2 linked regions of the Caenorhabditis elegans genome follow. The protein of the gene in region 1 purifies or fractionates together with the protein of each later gene. This does not show direct contact. Each region holds a gene or a part of one and is shown on either strand. Other genes may lie near its edges. The genes, in order: pfas-1 and tiar-2.

Region 1 (9,528 bases):
TTGACTAACATATTCAATTTATTTAAAAACTTTAGTTTTTTCCGTATAGCAAAGTAATAGTACAGCATATCCAATAAATCGGTTTTATTCATCAAATTTTAAATTTTTTGCAGAGTCGTATACCATCAAATTGTGTGGATCTATGTGCTCCTTCTGATTCGGAAGTTCGATTTGATGAATCAAAACTTCATTGTCTTCACTATCTTCCAATAATGAAAGAATGTTTTCAATCAAATTAAAATTAATAAATAATCCCTATTTCCTTGTTTCTTAACCACTTAATGCTCATTGAACCTATTAAACACTGTCGACTCCGGCATCCTGTCAAATCGAAACACAAACAAACACATTCGCATTGATCTACCGGAAGAGATCCGGGCGATTTGTTGGCATGGCTATATAATGTGTGCAATTCAAACATTCAATTCAATATCACATTTTGATATGAACATAAAGTATTTCACTTTTCTTGTTGCTTCCGTACTTTGCGAGTTCAACCTTACAGAGACGTTGGCTAAAAATGGTAGGTTTACCGGTTTTGTCTTTGGTTTTTAATCTTTTGCATTTTTAAAAAAAATTTTTAACAGTATCATAAAATAACTGCAATATTCTCAAATATTTTCTTTAACATTTTGTTGAGAAACTTGCCAACTTTGAATAATCGTTTCGGTTTTTGAAACGAAACATCATTTTCCAATTATGCAATTTTTAAACTGTTCCCTCCGAATTTTTTTAAATTCAGCTCATAACATCTTAGGTCCCACCACAAAAGATGACAAGTTACTGTAAATATCTCAGAAAAAAAAAAATTAAAATTCGCACAAATGAATCAGCCTACAATGAATCTATACATTTTCCAGAAAGTTCACCTCTTGTGGATCTTTCGAAAGTTGCCCGCGACCAAGGAGCAATTGTAGTCGCCGCATTTCCAGCAGTATCTACAATTAAAGCAAAAAGTAAGAAAAAATTTGGACTGGGAGCTTTTGAAAGGGGATATACAAACACTGGTGCGACTTTTTCAAGAAGAGGCAGAAGTGGAGCTTCAACTGGAAATCCTTATGCATCGTGAGTTTAACTTTTTTGAAGGAAAACGTTTGCAATATATAAACTTGTTCCAGTGGATATCAAGGGCTCCCTGAATCACAAAGCAGTCTGCCAGGAGATCGTGTAGGTGGAATGACCAGAACTGGAAAGAGAACTTTTGGAAGTTATGGTAAGAAATATATTATTTTAAAATCAAACATTCATACTTATTCCAGGAAGCGTCGACACTGCAAAAGGTCAATCCTCGGCTCATAGAGCAGGAACCGGTTCAGGATGGAGAGGATCTTCTCGGAATGACGGAGAGAATGACGATTGGAATAATGGAGATCAGAACAATAATAACAATTTCAACTCTAAAAACAATCGAATGAACAAATATGGAAATAGAAACGATGGAGATGATTATAATGGAAATGGGAATAATCAAGACAATTGGAATTCGGGATCAAATTCTGGAGGGTACAATGGTGGTGGTGGAGGATCTGGAGGAGGATCTAATTGGAATAATGGTGAATTTTCAATTTTTCCGATACATTATATTTCATGAGCAAGCTTAGACATCTTATGATAATGCTCGAAACACGGAAAATATATCTTTCTTTTCAAGTCGCCTAATGTAAGCCTATCTTTCTAAGCTAGAAAACACTTCTAATTTTCTAATAGACCGCCTGTTTTTCTTTATACAGTTTTCTTGTTCATGGGTTTAAGAATCTACTGACGCTATTTTAGAAAAATTTCAATTCTGTAATTTGTTTCAGGAGACAACGAAAATGACGGCTGGAATAATAACAACAACAATCGAAAGAGCAACAACAATAATAATAATAACTATGGTAATTCATGGGGTACAAATGACAACGATGGAAATTCTTGGAAAGGATCTGGAAACAGCAATGGAAACTCTGATAATTGGGGTGGATCCTCGGGAAGTGGTTCAAATGGAGGAAATGATGGAGATTCTAATTATGGAAATGAAGGATCATGGAAGCCAAGTGGAAATAGTTATGGAAGAAATCGAGGTGGAGGAAATGAAGGTGGTGATCAATGGGGAAGTAACAATAATGGAGGAGATAATTATGGATCTGAGTTGAGCAACAATTGGGGTGGATCTAATGGTGGATCAGGATCAAATGGAGGTTCTGGAGGAGGAAATACTGATAATGATAACTGGGGAAGCAATAATGGCAATTCTGGAGGATCATGGGGAAATGGTGGAACTGGAGGATCTGGAGGCTCTGGAGGTGGAAACTGGGGAGACAATGATAACTATGGCAGTAGCAACAAATGGAATGGAAATGGAAATCAGGATAATGACAATGATAACTTTGGAGGAGGATACAGTAAGAATGGATACGGTAGCAATAACAATAGAAACGACGGATGGGGATCTTCTAGTAGCAATAATAACAATAATAATAATAATAATAATAATGGAGGAACTGGAGGATACAGTAACAACGGAGGAGGATGGGGTAGCAATAATAATAATAATGGAAATGATGGAAACAATTGGGAATCCAATAATGGAGGAAATGGCGGTGGTGGTGATAACTGGAATAATGGAAACAGTGGCAACAATGGAAATAATAATGGTAATGGAGATGAAGATTATGGAGATTGGTACAATATGAAGATGAAAGATCCATCTGTAGCTGAAGATTCAACGACTAAAACACCTGAAGTTGAGAAGAAGATTGCCGAGTTATTGAGTATGGATACATATCGGAAGATGTAAAGATTTCCTGGGTTTCTGTTGTTTTAACTTATATTATTGATTAACTTATTGCAATAAATTCATATTATTATTCATATTCATATATTCATACTATTATTGTTACATCTAAAACATAACTTCTCTTTACAACACTGTTGGGAATTCATTGCATACATTCTTTTATTTTTTATAACTTTTCATATACATATGTACAACAGAAAATGCGGAAAAGTGTTGAAAAATAGACTCAAACAAATTTTTACAGAAAAAATAATTCTCTTGAAAATCAAAAAATTTAACAAAGTTCTTTAACTGTTAGGTATTAAAATATGTACTGCAGTTTTAAGACATCCCCCCATTGGCATTCTTTTGTCTTCTTTTGTTTTTTTTTCATGATTTCCAGATAGTAAATGCCCAAGAAACATCCAAAAACTAAATACTTTGTTCTTGAAAATTTTGCAACATTAGAATACTATCAGGCAAACATTTTTTCTTATCACTACTGAAAAATATCAATTACCTGTCTATTCTCAACCTTGTTATGCTTCACAATGTCAACGACACCACTGAAAAACACATAAAAACAGTAAATTGCAATTCTTATCAGCTCTTTGAATTGATTTTTGAAAACATTTGTAGATTCTCATTCTCTGTTCGGTTTTCATTCTTAATTTTTCTATAATACATATCTGTCTGAAAACCAAATCAGTTTTCAGGAACTAAAACATTTGGTAAGCATGACTAAGTTTCATGTTAAGCTTTACGCGAAAGCGGTTGAGTCAAGAAAATTGGATCAGATTCAAAAAGATTTTGAGAAGAAGTTCAATCGAAAAATTGATGTTTCTGTCGAGTATTGCTACCATGTTATTACTCAAGAGGTAAGGAAAATATCTTGTTCTATATTTAAAAATGTTTGTCGTGTCGAGACCGGGTACCATAGTTTTGTGGCATAAATTGTACAATTTTTAACGATTTTTTAAATATCGAAGATTGAAAAATAGCCGTTCTGATCTTTTGAACTCAAACACGTGAATTTTAACACGAACTTTACTGCCGCATATGCGACGTAACATCTTTCCGTGGGAGCCAGAATACGTAAATTTCCGAAAACGATTTCAGCCGGAGCTCATTTCCTCCAACTGGGAAAAGCTTGTTACTTTATTATCTCATTCTCCATTTGAAACCTCTGTTTGGAAAGAATCGCAACTACATCCGGAACACGGAAAAAATATTGAAATCGGCCCTCGAACAGCTGTGAAAACAGCTGCTTGCACAAACATCCTTAGCATTTTCGAAAGTTCTGGTATCAAGAATGTGGAGAGAATTGAACGAGGAATTCGGTATTTGGTGGAAGATGATGTGGATGTTAATGAGTTTTTTGAAATTGCTGCGGACAAAATGACAGGTGAATTATTGAGAACTCTACAAAAAATTGAAGATTAATATTCAGAAGCAATTTATGGAAATGATGTGAAGTTTGACGATGAGAGTCATCAGATAGAAAAAGTATTTCTGATTGATGTCTTGGAATCAAAACAGAACTTGATTAAGGTAGTTTTAAAGTGAATGAATTGTGTTAAAGTTGAAAGTTTCAGGCAAATGAAGAACTGGGGTTGGCTTTGGATCAATTGGATCTTGATTTTTATTACGATTTTTTTGTGAACAAAGTCAAAAAGTAAGGAGGCTTGTGAACTAGTACTCGATTTTCAAAAGGACTCTGAACTGACACTTTAATATTTCTGGAAAAATTTGAAATATGAGTTCTAATGTTTCAGAAACCCCACAGACGTTGAACTTTTTGATTTGGCTCAATCGGACTCTGAGCATTCTCGTCATTGGTTCTTCCGTGGAGAAATATGGATTGATGATCGGAAGAGAGATGGATCTTTAATGAAAACAATCAGAGAGACACTTGACAGTTCAAATGATAATAGTTTGATTGCTTTTTGCGATAATTCCAGGTATTTTTATTTTTCTTGAAAAGTTCAAGCTTGCGTGAGCAAGACATGGGCGAGTAGCGGGTGTCAGAAGGCATCTAGCGATGATCTGTCATATTTCTAGATGTTATAGTTGAAAACTTTTTGATTATCTCAGGAAAAAAATATATAAACTTTCACATTGTGGGTGAAAATGCTGGAGAATTTTCGAATTTTAAAAATTTAATTTCAGCGCAATTCGAGGATTCGAGAGTGTCTGCCGTCTTCGTCCAAACGATCCAACTACTGTATCCCCAATGATTGCCATATTTCCACCATCCCATCTCATCTACTCTGCTGAAACTCACAATTTCCCAACTGCAGTTTGTCCATTCCAGGGTGCAACAACTGGAACTGGCGGTAGAATTAGAGATATTCATGCAACTGGAAGAGGGGCATATGAGATTGCTGGTTTGTTTTTCCTTGTCCTGATAAAATTATATACTTCAGGAAATTTCAGGAACCGTTGGGTATTCCTTTGGGAATTTGAATTTACCGGGGCTTCCGTTGCCCTGGGAAGATGAGACATTCGAGTATCCCACATCGATCAGTGAACCAGCGAAGGTATTTTAAAATATATTACTAAAAATTCTGAAATTTGTTCAGATAGCCATAGAGGCTTCCAATGGAGCATCAGATTATGGTAACAAGTTCGGTGAGCCCGTGATTTCTGGATTTGCTCGATCATTTGGGCAGAGACTAGAGAACGGAGAAAGATGTGAATACTTGAAGCCAATTATGTTTTCTGGAGGAATTGGTGCAATAGGTAATAATTGTATTCATATAATATTTTTAAAACAATTCATAATTATTCAGACAAAGATGAAGTACGAAAAGAGCCATGTGCTCCTCATCAAAAAGTCGTCAAAATCGGCGGCCCCGTATACAGAATTGGAGTCGGTGGTGGAGCTGCAAGTTCAGTTTCTGTTCAAGGAAATCGTGAAAATCAGTTGGACTTTGCTGCCGTGCAACGTGGAGATGCTGAAATGGGTGGTAAACTTCATCGAGTTGTTAGAGCATGTGCAGAGAGAATTGGTGGAAATCCATTGATGGCGATACATGATCAAGGAGCTGGTGGAAACGGTTAGTTATCAATATAAGATTATAACACAAAATGTAAACAGCGATGAGAAGCTTGATTCGCATTTTAGGTTGGTTTCCTAATTGTAAAATGAATTGAAAACATTTTCAATCTTATGAACATGAAAAGATAACTCACTTTGCGGAAACTGTTCAAATATAGAAGATATTCTATATTTTCAAACTTCAAAATGGCTTTGTAAGACATGGTAAATCGGGCAATAAATATTTGCTTTCACTATTTTTACGAAATTACCGATATCATATTTAAATGTCTAAAAGAACACTTTTCATTCAATAATTACAATTTAAAACGAAACACATTAAATATCAATCAATTGTGAGAATCGGAGCTTCTCTCCCGCAAATGTAAGTAAACCGCCATTGACAAAAATGATCATTCAATTTCCTTGTTCCATTACCATTCCACCACTTCGTTTTCCCACTCATCATAACTAGGCATTCTTCATCCACAAGAGCATGATTTGGTTCATACGGAGAAGGCCAATAAGCATCCAGAAAATTTGGTGGATTCTCAGCAACATCGTGAAGCCATTCAAAGACTCGACGACGAGAACATTCACTTTCTTTATCCGAAGAGAACCCTCCACGACCCACAATTGATAAATCATTACAACGCTTTCGTCTTCTTGCACCCAGCAATACTTCAATATAATCGGTATTTGGAAGTTGTTCACTCTTAGCAATCATATCTGTAAAAGAGAGATTGTTGTACTTGAAGTTTAAATATCGATTCAAAAGTTTTTTTCTTACTGCAACCATGTCTCTTCCACACCACTACATTTACGCAGTAAAAGCCCAAGCTGTGCTCTATATATAGAAATGTTACCGCACCTACCATTTAGGAATTGAAATTCTTCATCGGACGTAAAAGAAGACAAATGAGCACCCAATTGTTGACATTTTTGTTCAGCGTTATCGTAATTCGCGGTATCATCCCATACATATTTGTGACACCAGGTTTTTCCTTCATTCTTCCGATAGTATTCCACAAATCCATCCGGACATTTTGTATAAGATAACCCCTTCACAATTTGTTCACAATAAATTGGAGCATATCGAGCATCAGACATAACTTCGAGGCCTTCGTTTTCACGTCGGCTGAAAATGTTTATGATAAAGTTAATTGTCTTTAAATTATGTAACCTCAAAACCACCGCAGAGCTCCATGTTGCTGCATCGCAAGACTCATTTGGTTCACCCTTTCGCCATATTGCATTATCGAGAGGAAAAGGTACAGCTTCGCCTTTCTGTAAAGAGATCTTCAAAAACATTTCACCTTCCATAAGCTCACATTTCCAGTCAAATAAATACGATGGTGGGGTTTTGCTTGAACGGAGCACTTTTATTTATTCCTCTCATTTGCGTTGGCATGTGCTGAAACTGATGATGTTCGAATGATACCAACATCCTGCTGTTCGAAAAGCTCTTTCACCAGCCCCTGAGTGGGAGATGCTGATTGAGCCCGTCCACCGCGAAAAACTGGTTTCATGACCTCTGTGCAATACTTGTGATCTGCCAATTTATCTTCCTCATTTCTGATTCGACTGCTCGTTGTTCTAATGTACACAGCTTCTGATGTGACAAGAGGTGGATAATAGATCTCCCCATATCTTCTGAGCAAGTAGTTGCTCTCTGATTTTGTCATTGGTGGAGTGTATTCACATAGAACCATTGCAGTTTCATCCTTAGACACACGAGCAATTGCAACATTTGGAAGATTGTATTTGTATCCATCGAATGCCAGAAGTACATTACCACCTTCAACGTCATAGATCAAATCATTAGTGACAACTTCACTTGCATCCATCCAGATACGAGAAACACGAGTGAAGTAATCTGAAATTACTCTGATAAGCTTTGCTTTGAATAGTTGAAAACAAACCATTCCATCTAAAAGGCAATGCTTCTCTGTGCATGAATGCAATTGTCGATGTCTGATCCTGTTGATTCTTGCAATGTTTTTCAGCCTTGTCACGTGTCATCATCGTCTTGGTGATCTTGTAGCACCTTCCGAACATCTGAACCCATCCACTTTTACAAATTAATGTTGCTTCTGCTTCACAGGTTGTTTTGTATTCCGATGCTTCTGCATTATTGATATGATAGGGAACATTGTCTTCACAGTACTGCTGAGCGGATTTCTGAAAGGAATAAGTACATTTATACAGCATTTAGACCCAAAAAAAACCTGATTATCGGAGGCTTTTGGAAAATTGAACGTACACTTGTCACCTTCTAACGACTGAAAAATTATAATTTTATTTTGAGTTCAATTTACACATTTTAAAACTTTTTTTGGATGTCTAACCATTGTTGTGGTTTTTTCTTCTTTTTCTTCCTATTTTCAGCCAACTATTGAAAAAAAACACTGTCAGATTTCTGTAACTAACCTTAAATCCATCTTTTCTTGCATGATAAGTTTGCTCTCCACCCCAAAAATTGCACATTTGTTGGAAACTCCAATCTCTTGCCAGTTGAGCATTTGTATAATGCAAAATGCATATAGCCATGAAAATTATAATTCGTATCTTTTGTTGTTGGTTGCTGAAACGGAAACAATTTGAATAGTATCACAAGCATACAACAATTACTAACCTCAGAGCAACTCGTTCAAATTAAGAACTGATTGTTTCTTGCGAAAGTTTGCTTATAAGCAAAAAAAAACAAACCATGCTGACACGCCGAAACGTGTTTCTCTCGCGTTACGAATTATTACTTAGATTTGAAAAAGTAATCGGATATTAACGTGTATACTATAAAATATACTGAAAATATACTGAAAATAATAATAATAATTTATTACGCTCGCTGGGAGACGTGAAGGAATACAGAATACAAAAGTTATCATTGTTCGCTTGAACTAGAATTGGTGCAGTCGGGCAATTGTTTCCATTCCATTAGAATGTTGTCCTTGTCCTTGCGTTGTCCTTGCGTAGACTCCCCCATAGTGGGCGAGCGATTCCCGAGTGAAAATAATCACGGAATGAAAATAATCACGGAATGAAAATAATCACGGAATGAAAATAATCACGGAATGAAAATAATCACGGAAAATATACTGAAAATGTGCCTGTCTACTGGCAATTCAGGTGTAATCTAAAACGGTTTAATAATAATGAAATAAAATAAGGTAGAAACTAATTTTATCCTGCCTTTTTGTAATTTTTCATTCGGATTTTCAAATACTTTTTAGGCCGTTGCTGTACTTCAAGTTAAGTTAAGGATACCACAAGTGATAAATCATAGGTGAAGAATACAAACGACAACAATAAAATTCGTGTCTGTATGGGTGTAATCCTCATTGTAGGGCTAGAATAAATACGCGAGTAAATGTAAAATACTTTAAGAATTGAATTAGCCGAATAAGCGGATTTCCAGTTCTCTTTCGTGTTGCAAGTGAACAAATGTTCTATATCAATATTTATTAAACTGTAGAGAATGAGAGCCGTTCACTTGGTCACTTTTACAATCGGTGCTTCTTTTCCACAGAAAAATGGATAACGTCTGCCACAGGAAACATCATTGATTTTTTTGTTTATGCCAAATTTCCAATGAGTCCACTCACTTCCTGTCATTACAACAACACACTTCTCTTTATCTCCAAGAAAATTCGGTTCATTGGGATCCGCCCAGTGCTCAATGAAATCTGGTGGATTCAGGGCAACTCCATGAAGCCAATAAAACACGCGG
Region 2 (12,332 bases), on another chromosome or scaffold:
CTACAGTGACCCTACAGTGTCACTACAGTACTCTAAAACCATAGTAGACACTCAGCACCTCTACAGTATCCTACAGTACCTTTACAGTTATTTTACAGTAACCCTACCATGCCCCTTTATTATTTCGACAGTAATCCTACAGTACCCCTACAGTGGCCCTACAGTATCACTATATTACTCTAAAACCACAGTGATCCTAAAGCATCCCCACAGTACTCCTACAGTACCCCTACAGTGACCCTACCATAACCCTTTATTATCCCGACAGTACCCCTAGAGTATCACTGCAGTACTCGAAAGCCACAGTAATCCTACAATATCACTACAGTAATCTGAAGCCACAGTTATCCTACAGTACCCCTTACAGTACCCCTACTTCATTAGTACCCCATACAGTACCCCTACAGTACCCCTACAGTACCCCTACAGTATCCCTACAGTTCCCTTACAGTACCCCTACAGTCTCACTACAGTACTATACAGCCACAGTAATCCTACAGTACCCATTACAGCACCACTTCCAAAATATATTCAGTTCCAGATCCCTCGGCAAAACCACCTCTACAGTGAGCACAGAGCGTCCAATTCCGATCCACGTAGTGGAGGAGACGTCATCAATCGATATGGATGTCGTTTTTCCAAAAATGCCACATCATCAAACCGTGACAAACGTCAGAGTTCCTTCGAGCAGAGGATCAGCAATATCCAGAGCTCACAGTGAGCATCGCAGGTCGATTGACAGGAGGTAAAAAGTGATATGTAGCACATTTTTAATCATAATTTTTTTTGCAGCGAACCACGTCACCACCATCGTCATCATGTTCATTCCGAGACCCCTGAACTTCCATATACTAGGTGACAAAATATCTGGGCACACATTTGTATAGAAAGACTTTTCAGAGGGATCTCCAAGACTCCGAGTGTTCGAGAATACAATGTGAAGCGGGAAGGTCAGAGATCGCCAAGCAGGTCTCATAGATCTGAAAGGTACGGTCGATCCGTTCTTAGCTTCGGTTTCTGCTTAGGCGTAGGCCTCGGTTTAGGCTTAGGCTTAGGATAAGGCTCAGGCTTAGTCTCAGGCTTAGTCTTAGGCTTTGGCATAGGCTTGGGCTTGGGCTTAGGATGAGGCTTAGGTTTTGGTTTTGGCTTAGGCTTAGGCTTAGGCTTCGGTTTAAGCTTAGATTTAGGCTCTGGCTCAGGCTTAACATAAACTTTCGATTAGTATACTTTTTGTTGATGCCATCCACCAAGTATTTACGGGGTTCCCTAGTTAGAGTTAGGCTCACGCTTAGGCACAGGCTTAGGATTAGGCCTAGGCGAGCTACTAGTTCATACAATTTCTCGGTTTTTTTTTGCAGAAGCCCATCAGAGGTCCGTATCCCGGTGACAACTACACATACTCGGTAGGCTTTGAGAAATTTCTAAAAATTAAAAAAAAAATTTTCAGCCCGATTGCAAAACGCCAAAGCCCGGAGGAGCTGGATTATGGAAGGTGATTGAAACTGCCGAGCTCAGTTGCTGATAAAATTATCGAAAATTCCAGATTCGCGGATAAAAGTCAGCAGAACCGATTTCCGGGGGATCATCAGGCTAGGGAGGAGGACTTACCGTATACCAGGTAATTTTTTTTTAACTCGGGGAGCTTTCGGCAAACCTCGATAATTTTTCAGGGGAATTTCCAAGACTCCTAGCAATCAGGATTCCAGGTCGGAGAGGTAGGGTAGATTTCCAAAAATTTAAAAAAAAAACCAAATTTTTCTAGAACTCCGTGCTCGGATATTCACATTCCTTACAATAACCCTGAAAAAGAGAGGTACAGTAGCAAAACCTACCGTAACCCTACAGTAATCCAAATTTCAGAGCCTATCAGCAATCCGAGCGGTCGTCTTATAGATCCCACAAATCGGTGACCCCATCAGAAAAGTCGTAAGTTTTTTTTTATACAGTAGTCCTATAGTAGTAAATCCAGGTTACCCCGCAATTCGGAGACCCCCGAGCTACATTACACCCGAGGAATCTCAAAAACGCCAAGCGACAGGGTGGAGAAGTCAAGGTACCTATCACGTGGTGTCAGTACCCCACATACCCCATCTGAAGTGCACATTCCATACAATAATCCAGAGAAAGAACGGTAAATTATACCTGAAAATTGAAGTTTTATCGATTTTTTTGCAGAGCCTACCAACAATCGCACCGCCCGTCTTCGCCAAAGAGACGCCCGTCTGGAAGGTGAGAAAATCGATATTTTTCGATGAATTAATCGATAATTTCAAAGAAAAATCGATATTTTCTAAAATTTTTCTGATTCCGGCCACGGGGTTCTGGCCTTCCTCATTGAATTTTTCGCGCTCTATTGACAATCATTTAGTTTTAAAACTAAAATCGAGCCGCGACGCAACACGCAACGCGCCGTAAATCTACCCCAGATATGCCCCAGCCAAATTGGCCTAGTTCGGAAAACTCTTCCATTTCAATTTATGAGGGAAGCTAGAAATCCCATTAATTCCGGAGAAAAATTCTTCCGAAAAATCGATAATTTTCCCATTTTCAGAACAAATTCCCCCAACAAGTCCAGCAGCAGCTCCAAGGTACAGTAACCACCCCCCCCTCAAACTATCGATTTTCCAACAAAATTTGTTTTCCAGGCGAGACCATCGGCGGCTCCACTCGAAGAAATAGTGCATATCAAGGAGAGATACGAGAGAGACGAGACGATTCGCCGATTCTTCCCAACTACGACTGCAGTGTAGACTATCTTAAAATTATTTTTCTCGAATTAAAAAAAAATTGATTCCCATGCTGTGCTTTCTCGACAATAAATTGCTTGCCATACATTTTTTTTGTGGATTTTTCGGCGAAAAATTGAGGAAAAAATCGAATAAATACACATAAATTTACAAGAAATGAAAAATCAGAAACAGAATCATTCTCTTCTAAGCTGATCAAGACGGGCCTGAAGATCATCGTCAACATCATTTCCACCACCGGCTCCACCGGCTCCATGATGAGCTCCACCGCTACCTCCAGCTGCAACAGCTTGGCGACCGCCGATCCGTTCTCCACCAGCATTGAGTCCACCGGCCGCCGACGGGAGCCCGGCCATTTCTTCGCCCATTTGTATGCCTAACTCGTCGAGAACCTGAGAAAAAAAAACATTTATATGATGAGTTTTTTAAGCCAAAATTCGCGTTTTTCTCGCTTTTTTACCTGATTAACGATCTGATCGGTCTCCTCCTCATCGCCGGCGTCTCCAAGAGCATCATCGATCGCGTCGCCCATCACCTCCTCCTTCATATCCATGATTTCGCTCTGTTTCTCGAATTCCATCATAATTTTCTGGATTTGTGGAAGATTCAGCTGCCGATTCATCGATTGCATCGCTTTTGTCACTCCTTTCATCGCCGACGCCATCGCATCTTGCGATTTCAGGGTTTGAACTTTCAGGGAGACCGCCTGAAGAGATTTAGAGATTTTTGTTTTATTTTAATTCAATTTCCGTGATTTTACCTGAATATTTGCCTTCATAACGATAAATTTCTTGATATAACGACGAGTTCGCACCAGATCCTTGGCCATCACTTTTACAGAGTCCATTTGATTCTTCTTTGCCATATTCTTGATATCCGCGATAACCTTCTTCTCCTGAGCCTCCATACGAGCTCTCTCGCGGTCCAGCTCTCGGATGGCCTGAAAGTTTGAATTTTTCATGATTTTCAGTTCATTTTCTCAGTTTTTTCAATAATTTACCTTGTTCAGAGCCCTCTGATTCTGTCGAAGAAGCTCGGCTGGCGTCTTGCGGCGTCCGAACAGGAAATCCATCTGAAAAGTGGAATATTTCGTAACAGCCGATAAAATATTGATTTCTGGGTGAGAAATGAGAGAAAAATAGAGTTCCAGAGCGGGAAAATTTTCTAAAAGCACTAAATAACAATAAAAATCAAAATAATTCATTGAAAATTGATTAGAAATTGTTCTTAAAATGAGGAAATCAATGCAAATATAAGGGTATGCAAGTGCGCTCCACCGGACAACTGATGATTAATCATGATTCATCGATTTTAAGTGAATTTATATCGGAAATTGTGATAAGAAATTTCGCAATTTTTATTGAAAAATGATAGTAATGGCTAAAACTTTATTAAATAAATAAAAATAACTAAATTTAAGATTAAAAAGTTGAAAAGAAAGGGAAAAAATAGATTTTTAAAAAACAAGTTTTTTTGAAACATTGCAAGCGCGCTCTACGGCACAATTTGAATTTATTTATTTAATTTTTGGTTTTTATTTGTTTTTACCGGATTTTTATCGAGTTTTTCGCGTTTTTCAGCAAAGTTTTGTAAAAAATGGCCACTTCGTTCTACACGGGAGGTGGCGAAGACGGAGACGGCTTCAATCCCCGTGTGCACGCGAGAATCGCCGAACGAGAGGGTTTTCAGCTGGCTTCTGGCTCCGAGGACCCGAGAACTTTGTAGGATTTTTTTTTCGCAAGAAGATTAAAAAATATAATAAAAAACCCGCGATGCTTGCAGATTCGTTGCAAATCTGGATCCGGCGATAACCGACGAGTTTCTCGCGACGCTTTTCAATCAAATTGGCGCCGTTATGAAGGCAAAAATTATTTTTGAAGTGATTTTTCATCGAAATTCCGGGTCTTAAACAGATAAATATTGCAGGGACTCAACGATCCGTACGCTTTCGTGGAGTTTTCCGATCATAATCAGGCTACGCTGGCTTTACAGAGCCACAACGGGCGGGAGCTGCTGGAAAAAGTGAAATTTTTGGCTTAAAAATCCCGGGAAAATCCGGGAAAATCTGAAAATTAAACTAATTGCAACAGAATTTCAAAAAAATGTTTCAGGAAATGCACGTAACGTGGGCATTCGAGCCCCGCGAGCCGGGCGAAAACCGCTCAAAACCCGAAACTTCTCGACATTTTCACGTTTTCGTCGGCGATTTGTGCTCCGAAATTGATTCGACAAAGCTCCGTGAAGCTTTTGTTAAGTTCGGAGAAGTTTCTGAGGCGAAAATTATTCGCGGTAATTTTTTTTAATTTGAAAAAAAAATTGAAAATTCTGGAAAAATCAATATTTTTCGACTAATTTGATTATAGAAAATTACGGAAAAAACATTTTAAAAGAAAATTGGTTCGACAAATTGCCGGAATTGAAATTTCCGGCAAATCGGCATATTGCCGGAATTGAAAACTTCTGGAAAATCGGCAAATTGCTGGAATTCTAAATTTCCGGCAAACCGACAATTTGCCGGAATTGAAAACTTCTGGAAAATAGGCAAATCGGCAAGTTGCTGGAATTCAAAATTTCCGGCAAACCGGCAAATTGTCGGAATTGAAAACTTCTGGCAAATTGCCGGAATTGAAAATTTCCGGCAAATTGGCAAGTTGCTGGAATTCAAAATTTCGGCAAACCGGCAATTTTCCGGAATTGAAAATTTCCGGCAAATGCAAATTGCCGGAATTGAAAATTTCTGGCAAATCCAAAAATTGCCGGAAAATAGGAAAATTGCCGGAATTCAAAAATTTTGACAAATCGGCAAATTGTTGGAATTGAAATTGCCGGAAAATAGGAAAACTGACGGAATTAAAAATTTCCGGCAATTTGCCGATTTGCCGAATTTCTCCAAATTTTAATCTCAATTTTTGAATTTTTTTGAATTTCTCTCCTTTTTAAGGAAAAACGAAAAAAAAAGTGAAAACTGTACGACCAATCAGCGTCTTCGACTCCGCCCCCCCCCCCCCCCCCCCACTCAACCCGATTGGTTGGGAAGTGGGCGGAGCAAAACGCTAATTGGTGGGCCCTATTTTTTCGTTTTTTTTCCCTTAAAATGTCTAAATTTCAACCAATTTTTAAATATTTTTTTTTGCAGATAACAATACGAACAAGGGAAAAGGCTACGGATTCGTATCATACCCCCGTCGAGAAGATGCCGAAAGAGCTATAGATGAGATGAATGGAGCATGGCTTGGCCGACGGACTATTCGAACAAACTGGGCCACCCGGAAGCCTGATGAAGATGGTGAACGTGGTGGTGATCGTGGTGATAGAAGAGGTGGAGGTGGCGGTGGAAGAGATCGTTATCATAATCAATCGGAAAAGACTTATGATGAGATTTTTAATCAAGCTGCTGCTGATAATACATCGGTTTATGTCGGAAATATTGCCAATCTTGGGGGTTCGTTTTCAGAAATTTTCAAAAAAATTTTCAAAAAAAACTTAAAATTTGCGTATTTTTTTTGTTAAAAATTACAAAAAAAAATCAAAAAAATTTAGGTAAAATTGGCAATTTTTTTAGTCGAAAAATCGGCAAATTTCAATTCCGGCAATTTTTGGATTTGCCGGAAATTTTCAATTCCGGCAATTTTCCGGTTTGCCGGAAAATTTCAATTCCGGAAATTTGCCGATTTGCCGGAAATTTTCAATTGCGGCAATTTGCCGATTTGCCGGAAATTTTCAATTCCGGCAATTTTCCGGTTTGCCGGGAATTTTCAATTCCGGAAATTTGCCGATTTGCCGGAAAATTTCAATTCCGGAAATTTGCCGATTTGCCGCAAATTTTCAATTCCGGCAATTTGCCGATTTGCCGGAAATTTTCAATTCCGGCAATTTTCCGATTTGCCGAAAGTTTTCATTTTCGGCAATTTTCCGATTCGCCGGAAATTTTCTTTTTCGGCAAATTGCCGATTTGCCGAAAATTTCAAATCCGACAATTCGCCGGTTTGCCGATTTTCTGGAAAGTCTCAATTCCGGCAATTTGTTGATTTGCCGGAAATTTTCAATTCCGGCTATTTGCCGGTTTACCGATTTGCCGGAATTAAACATTTCCGGTAATTTGCCGATTTATCGGAAATTTTCAGATCCGGCATCATGCCGGTTTGCCGGTTTGTCGGATATTTTCGTTTTTGACAAATTGCCGATTTGCCAGAAATTTTTAATTCCGGAAATTTGCCGATTTGTCGGAAGAAATCGTTTACCCCGATTCATATTTACAAAAAAAACTTTCCTAAATCGGCAAATTGCGGAATTGAAAATTTGCGTCAAATCGAAAAAATTGCCGGAATTGAAAATTTCCGGCAAATCGAAAAATTGCCGGAATCTAGGTATTCTAGAAGATCGGCAAACCGGAAAATTGCCGGAATTGAAAATTTCCGGCAAACCGGAAATCGGAAAATTGCCGGAATTGAAATTTCCGGCAAACCGGCAAATTACCGGAACTGAAAAAAATTTCGGCAAACCGGCAATTTGCCGATTTGCCGAATTTGTCGACAAAAAATTTGCCGCACTTTTGCTGCTAGAATTTCCGTCGAAAAAATTCCCCAAAAATTCACCACAAATCCTCCAAATTAATTATTTTTTTTTTGCAGAAGACGAAATTCGCCGAGCTTTTGACCGTTTCGGACCAATCAACGAAGTACGAACATTCAAAATTCAGGGATACGCATTTGTGAAATTTGAGACTAAAGAATCAGCGGCACGGGCGATTGTACAGATGAATAATGCAGATATTGGAGGACAAATTGTTCGATGCAGTTGGGGAAAAAGTGGAGATGTTCGTGGTTTTTTCGGTGAAATGAAGAAAAAAATGCCCAAAAAATCACCCAAAATGGATTAAAAAAAAAAAAAAAAAATTTCTTCAAAAATCCCGTTAAATTTTAAATTAATTTAATTTAATTTAATTTAATTAAACTTTTATTTCAGAATTTTTTAGAATGAAAATTCCAAAAAATTCAAAAAAAAATTGGATTAAAAAAATCACAAATTTACTTAATTTTTCGAAAAAAAAAATTTAAAAATTTCGAGAAAAAGCTACACACTGGAATTTAAAAAATTAACTAATAATTATTTTTAAAAAAATAAAAAATTTCTAAAAAATTATACTGGTTTCAATTTTTTAAATCAAAAATATAGCTTAGGAATTTTAGGAATTTTTTTATTACTAAAAATTCTATTTTTGCAGCTTCTTTGTAGAGTTTTTTCTCTAAAAAATTCATTTTTTACTCGAAAATCGGGAAAATTTTGAATTTTCAAGAAAAAAATGCTAAAAATTATTTAGACATTGAAAAATTCATTAAAAATTTCTGTTTAAACCTGAATTTTCAATCCAAAAAAACCACAGATTTTGACAAAAAACAACTGAAATTTCCAGCTTTCCGTTTTGCCAGAAATTTCAATTCCGGTAATTTGCCAATTTGCCGAAAATTTCAATTCCGGCAATTTACCTACTTGCCCGAAATTTCAATTCCTGCAATTTTCCGGAAATTTCAATTCCGGTAATTTGCCAATTTTCCGGAAAGCTGGAAATTTCAGTTTTTTTGTTGAAAACCGAAAAATTCAGAAAAAACTGAAATAAACCAATTTTTTTGGCAAAAATTGCTTTTTTTTTTAAGAAAAAATATTCTTAAATTTTCCTTATAAAACCCTTTTTAAAATTTGAATTTTCAAAAAAATTTTCTATTTTTTCTCAAAAAGTCACCTAATTAATTTTATTTCAGTCTGGAAAGCCATCCGAGCGAGGATCCGGCGGTGGTGGCGGCAGTGGCAACTACGGTTACGGTTACGGTAACAGCGGTGGCGGCGGCGGCAGCGGAGGACCCGGAAATTCGCAATTTTCGAATTTTAATCAACGACCCCCACCATCTGGAAATGGTGGTTCTGGAGGCGGAAGTGGAGGCCAAAATAATCAATATTGGCAGTACTATTCGCAATACTACAATAATCCACATTTGATGCAACAATGGAATAATTATTGGCAAAAGGATGGACCACCACCACCACCAGCTGCAGCAGCTTCATCTACTGGAGGAAATTGAGAGCACATTTTGTGAAAAAATTATTTTTTTTTTGCTGTTTTTGGAAATTTGGAAATTTCCAATTTTCTTAATTTTTTTGTTGCTGTTTTTGGAAATTTTGTGAATTTTTTTTCTGAAAAATTGGAGAAAATTGAGCTCATTTTATGGAAAAAATTCTTTAAAAAATCAATTTTCTGAGATAATTCGTTTCTTATTTTGTTAATTAATTAAATTTCAGCAAGATCTTTTTCCAAAAAAAAAAAAACTTGTAAAATTCCAGTTTTTCTAGAAATTTGGAGGGAACTGAGCACATTTTGTGGAAAAATAATTCTTTAAAAAATCAAATTTCTTTATTTTTACTGTTTTTGGAAGTTTTGAAAAAAAAATTCCAAAAAAACATGGTAACATTCCAGTTTTTCTGGAAAAAAATTGGACAAAATTTAGCTGATTTTTTTTTTGAATTTTTCAAATAGTTATTTAATACAAAAATAATCATTTTCCTGTTTTTCCAGCAAAAATTGAGCACATTTTGTGGAAAAAAATTCAATAAAACTTTAAAAATCATTTTTTGAGTAACATTGAAATTTCCTATTTTCTTGATTTTTTCCTGTTTTGGAAATTCTGAGCATTTTTTTCCCAAAAAAAACTGGTAAAATTCCTGTTTTTCTGAAAAAAAATGCAGAAAATTGAGCGGATTTTTGGAATTTTTTAAATAGTTATTTAATACAAAAATAATTATTTTCCTGTATTTTTTTAAGAAAACAAAATTTAATTTTTCTTAATTCAACAATTTTTTTTTTTCAATTTTTTGAATTTTTCGGAAATTTAAAATTTTTTCCAAACATCTTTTGCTTCAGTTTAACTAAATATATTGCTGAGTTCTGTGAATTTGCAATTTATGTTTTGAAAATTCCGGAATTTTTTTGTTTTGTATTTGTCCTCTCCCCAAGAAAATTGCATTTTTTAACGAATTAGAAATCCATTTTTAATTATTTTTCACCCAATTTCCCCGTTTTTTTTGTATATTTTCATCTGCCTTAATTTATTGATTTTTTTTTCTTCCCCACCCCCCTGAATTCCACGCGTTTCTATTTTTTTTTTGCAACAGAAAAATTGTCTAATATAAAAATGTCCTATGTTATTTACTTCCTGTCATTTTTTTATTGTAAAAGTTATTATTTATGAAATAAATAAATGTTCATGGAGCCGGAAAATTTCAAAAAATCACAAAAAAAAAATTTGTTTGTTTGTTTATTCGAAATTAGATAAATAGTATTTCGAATTTAAGCTCCTTAACTTAAGCTCCCCCCACTTATTGGCACAAAATCTCAAAAAAAAATTTTTTTTTTCAATCTTCTCTGCAAATTTTCCGGAAAAAATTGGGAATTAAAATCCAAGACGTGAACCTTTTTTAAAAAATATAATGTGTTTTAATGTACAAGGGGCAACAGAAAAAAAAATCGATAAAAATTAGCCAAAAATTAGTTATTTCGAACAATCTAACCGACGGCGTTATAAACCATTTTTATCAAAGTGTGAGTTAATTTAAATATATATATATATATATGTGCTGGGTGGCCGCTAGAAAAAAAACATAGGTGGCCTAGTTTTATGCTTTCCTGCCGGCGGGCATTTACAGCGCGGCCTAGCGAAACAATCGATGGCCTAGTTTTCTCAATCGTTCAAAACTCGGGCCTGCGATTGACAGACTTTTTAGAGATTTTTCGATCGAAATCTTGAGAGAAAAAGATCCTAGTTTTCAATTTTCCGGACCTGTGCGGAAAAGTCGATCTGTGAAATAATGACAATTTCCAGGATACGCTCAAACACGTGACAATTTGAAAAAATGCTTATTGAACTCCTCATATCCATCACCGTGCTCGCGTCGATTCTCGTCTCGTGCAAGAAAGAGAAGAACGAAGCGGCAAAACTGAAGCCACGTGGCTTCGATCGAAAATCCAGTGGAGCACCGGCTCCGGCTGGAGCCAACTTGGTTAACAAGTCTGGCGGTTCCGGCGGAGGTAGTGGAGGATCTGGAGATGCTAATAGACTTCTCAAAAGAGAAATCAAAGGTGGGTTCCACATCAGCCATGTTAGGGTGCGGGCCTTCGATATTTTTCGCCGATGTGTCCACCAGGATGGCACTCGATTGCAATAGTCGAATTTTGTCTGCATTCGCTCACCTCGATTTTGTCGGCTGCTTAAAAATGTTTTTTTTTGCAGAAGTAAAGATGGAGGAGCGTTCGGCTGACGATAACGAGACAATCAACGATGTAAAGTCCAACTGGGGAACTGTTTGAAATTCATGTTTTTTCTTGTAAATTGAATGAACTGTAAAAATGCTTAGACATAATTGAAAAAAAATACTAGCTATATAACGTATTTTCATGATCTGATGGCTCCGTAATAGTTTTTGTGTGTCGCGGATCCACCGCGGTAGCTGTAGCAACCACGAGAGCGCTCGCACGTGGTCGCTGGCTGTCCTTTTGCATAATTTTGAAGCAAATGCGCCTCATTGAGAATTCACGTTGGCGCCAACTCTCGCTATCCATTGGGCGTGAGAGACGCAGATACTACTTTTTTCTCTGGACGTGAAAAACGCCAAGAAAAACCGTTTTGCCGTCTGCGTCTCTTCTTTCACACGCTATTTTGGCTGTGGACGAGGAATTCTCCTCTTCCAGGATTTTCTAGGCCATTTTCTCACATTTCTCAAGTTTTCTCGTCCGCGAGAAAACGTGAATTTCGAGACAGCCAGCGAGCACGTGCGCTCGTCTACTCGGTAAATCGGCGCCACTGCTCAACCAACTTGAGCCACTTCCATTTACAAATGTGGCAAAAGTTGGCGAAAGTTGGTTGGAAAGTGGCTGATATCTAATGGCAGTTAGAAAGTGGCCAAAGTTGGTTTAAAAGTGGCGCCGAATTGCCGAGATAGTTATTATTGATCTACCCGTTTGATCTACCCGCCACTTACTCATTCGTCTTCCTTTACTATTTCGCAATCACCTTTTGTCATCATTCTCATTCTCACGCATCCACATTCACTTTCATTCACTTCTTGCACAGAGCCTACTATATAGCCGAAAGGCTACGCTCTCTCGTCCCCATCAACCAATTCGCACTATTATTCGGATTGTTTAATCCAATATTATCACGTGGTGTCAGAGTGTCTCATTTCGGCTTGATCTGCGTAGATCTACAAAAAATGCGGGAGAAGAGACGCAGAGTTCTCAACTGATTTCGCAGGGTTAAGAGCGTGCTGACGTTACAATTTTTCTGAGAAAAAAATCCCGCATTTTTTGTAGATCAAACTGTGTTAGGACTGCCGGACACCCCATGTGTCATTTCTTGTAAAAGTTCTAAAATTAAAAAAAAAAGTTCACGGAACCTGATTTTGGCGTAAAAGAAATAATGTTTTTTGGTTCAAAAAACGTGAAAATTTATGTTGGGAAAAAAGAAACAAGTCAATTATTTTGAAATTGAACGAAGTTCGAATTCCGTCATTTTGTCAGGTTGTAAGTTTTTTTTTCTG

Evidence for each region.
Region 2: the proteins of pfas-1 (region 1) and tiar-2 fractionate together in Caenorhabditis elegans (co-fractionation; one large-scale study listed by BioGRID). This does not show direct contact.

Annotation. Positions count from the first base shown.
Region 1 is NC_003281.10:4,637,250-4,646,777, reverse strand, and holds the start of pfas-1 (putative phosphoribosylformylglycinamidine synthase), read left to right. Parts: upstream 1-3,467; 5' UTR 3,468-3,495; coding exon 3,496-3,636; intron 3,637-3,877; coding exon 3,878-4,163; intron 4,164-4,208; coding exon 4,209-4,309; intron 4,310-4,353; coding exon 4,354-4,433; intron 4,434-4,533; coding exon 4,534-4,719; intron 4,720-4,927; coding exon 4,928-5,145; intron 5,146-5,194; coding exon 5,195-5,298; intron 5,299-5,340; coding exon 5,341-5,500; intron 5,501-5,550; coding exon 5,551-5,817; intron 5,818-6,215; coding exon of another isoform or gene 6,216-6,527; intron 6,528-6,673; coding exon of another isoform or gene 6,674-6,936; intron 6,937-6,981; coding exon of another isoform or gene 6,982-7,085; intron 7,086-7,129; coding exon of another isoform or gene 7,130-7,674; intron 7,675-7,720; coding exon of another isoform or gene 7,721-7,979; intron 7,980-8,026; coding exon of another isoform or gene 8,027-8,080; intron 8,081-8,228; coding exon of another isoform or gene 8,229-8,382; intron 8,383-8,433; coding exon of another isoform or gene 8,434-8,450; intron 8,451-9,243; exon of another isoform or gene 9,244-9,287; coding exon of another isoform or gene 9,288-9,528. Other genes in the region: dbd-10 (DB domain-containing protein), read left to right, coding at 114-239; pqn-29 (Prion-like-(Q/N-rich)-domain-bearing protein), read left to right, coding at 445-523, 861-1,065, 1,119-1,213, 1,260-1,553, 1,803-2,779; clec-153 (C-type lectin domain-containing protein), read right to left, coding at 9,288-9,528. UniProt on the Caenorhabditis elegans protein: Phosphoribosylformylglycinamidine synthase involved in the purines biosynthetic pathway. Catalyzes the ATP-dependent conversion of formylglycinamide ribonucleotide (FGAR) and glutamine to yield formylglycinamidine ribonucleotide (FGAM) and glutamate.
Region 2 is NC_003280.10:12,764,399-12,776,730, forward strand, and holds tiar-2 (RRM domain-containing protein), read left to right. Parts: upstream 1-4,287; 5' UTR 4,288-4,343; coding exon 4,344-4,468; intron 4,469-4,529; coding exon 4,530-4,626; intron 4,627-4,673; coding exon 4,674-4,769; intron 4,770-4,858; coding exon 4,859-5,036; intron 5,037-5,883; coding exon 5,884-6,189; intron 6,190-7,378; coding exon 7,379-7,563; intron 7,564-8,506; coding exon 8,507-8,824; 3' UTR 8,825-10,016; downstream 10,017-12,332. Other genes in the region: cnp-2 (Calcineurin-interacting protein 2), read left to right, coding at 542-745, 793-855, 901-987, 1,359-1,403, 1,448-1,492, 1,544-1,618, 1,671-1,715, 1,763-1,813 and 5 more; vps-2 (Charged multivesicular body protein 2a), read right to left, coding at 2,924-3,139, 3,208-3,453, 3,508-3,687, 3,748-3,819; Y46G5A.14 (uncharacterized protein), read left to right, coding at 10,650-10,875, 11,027-11,103.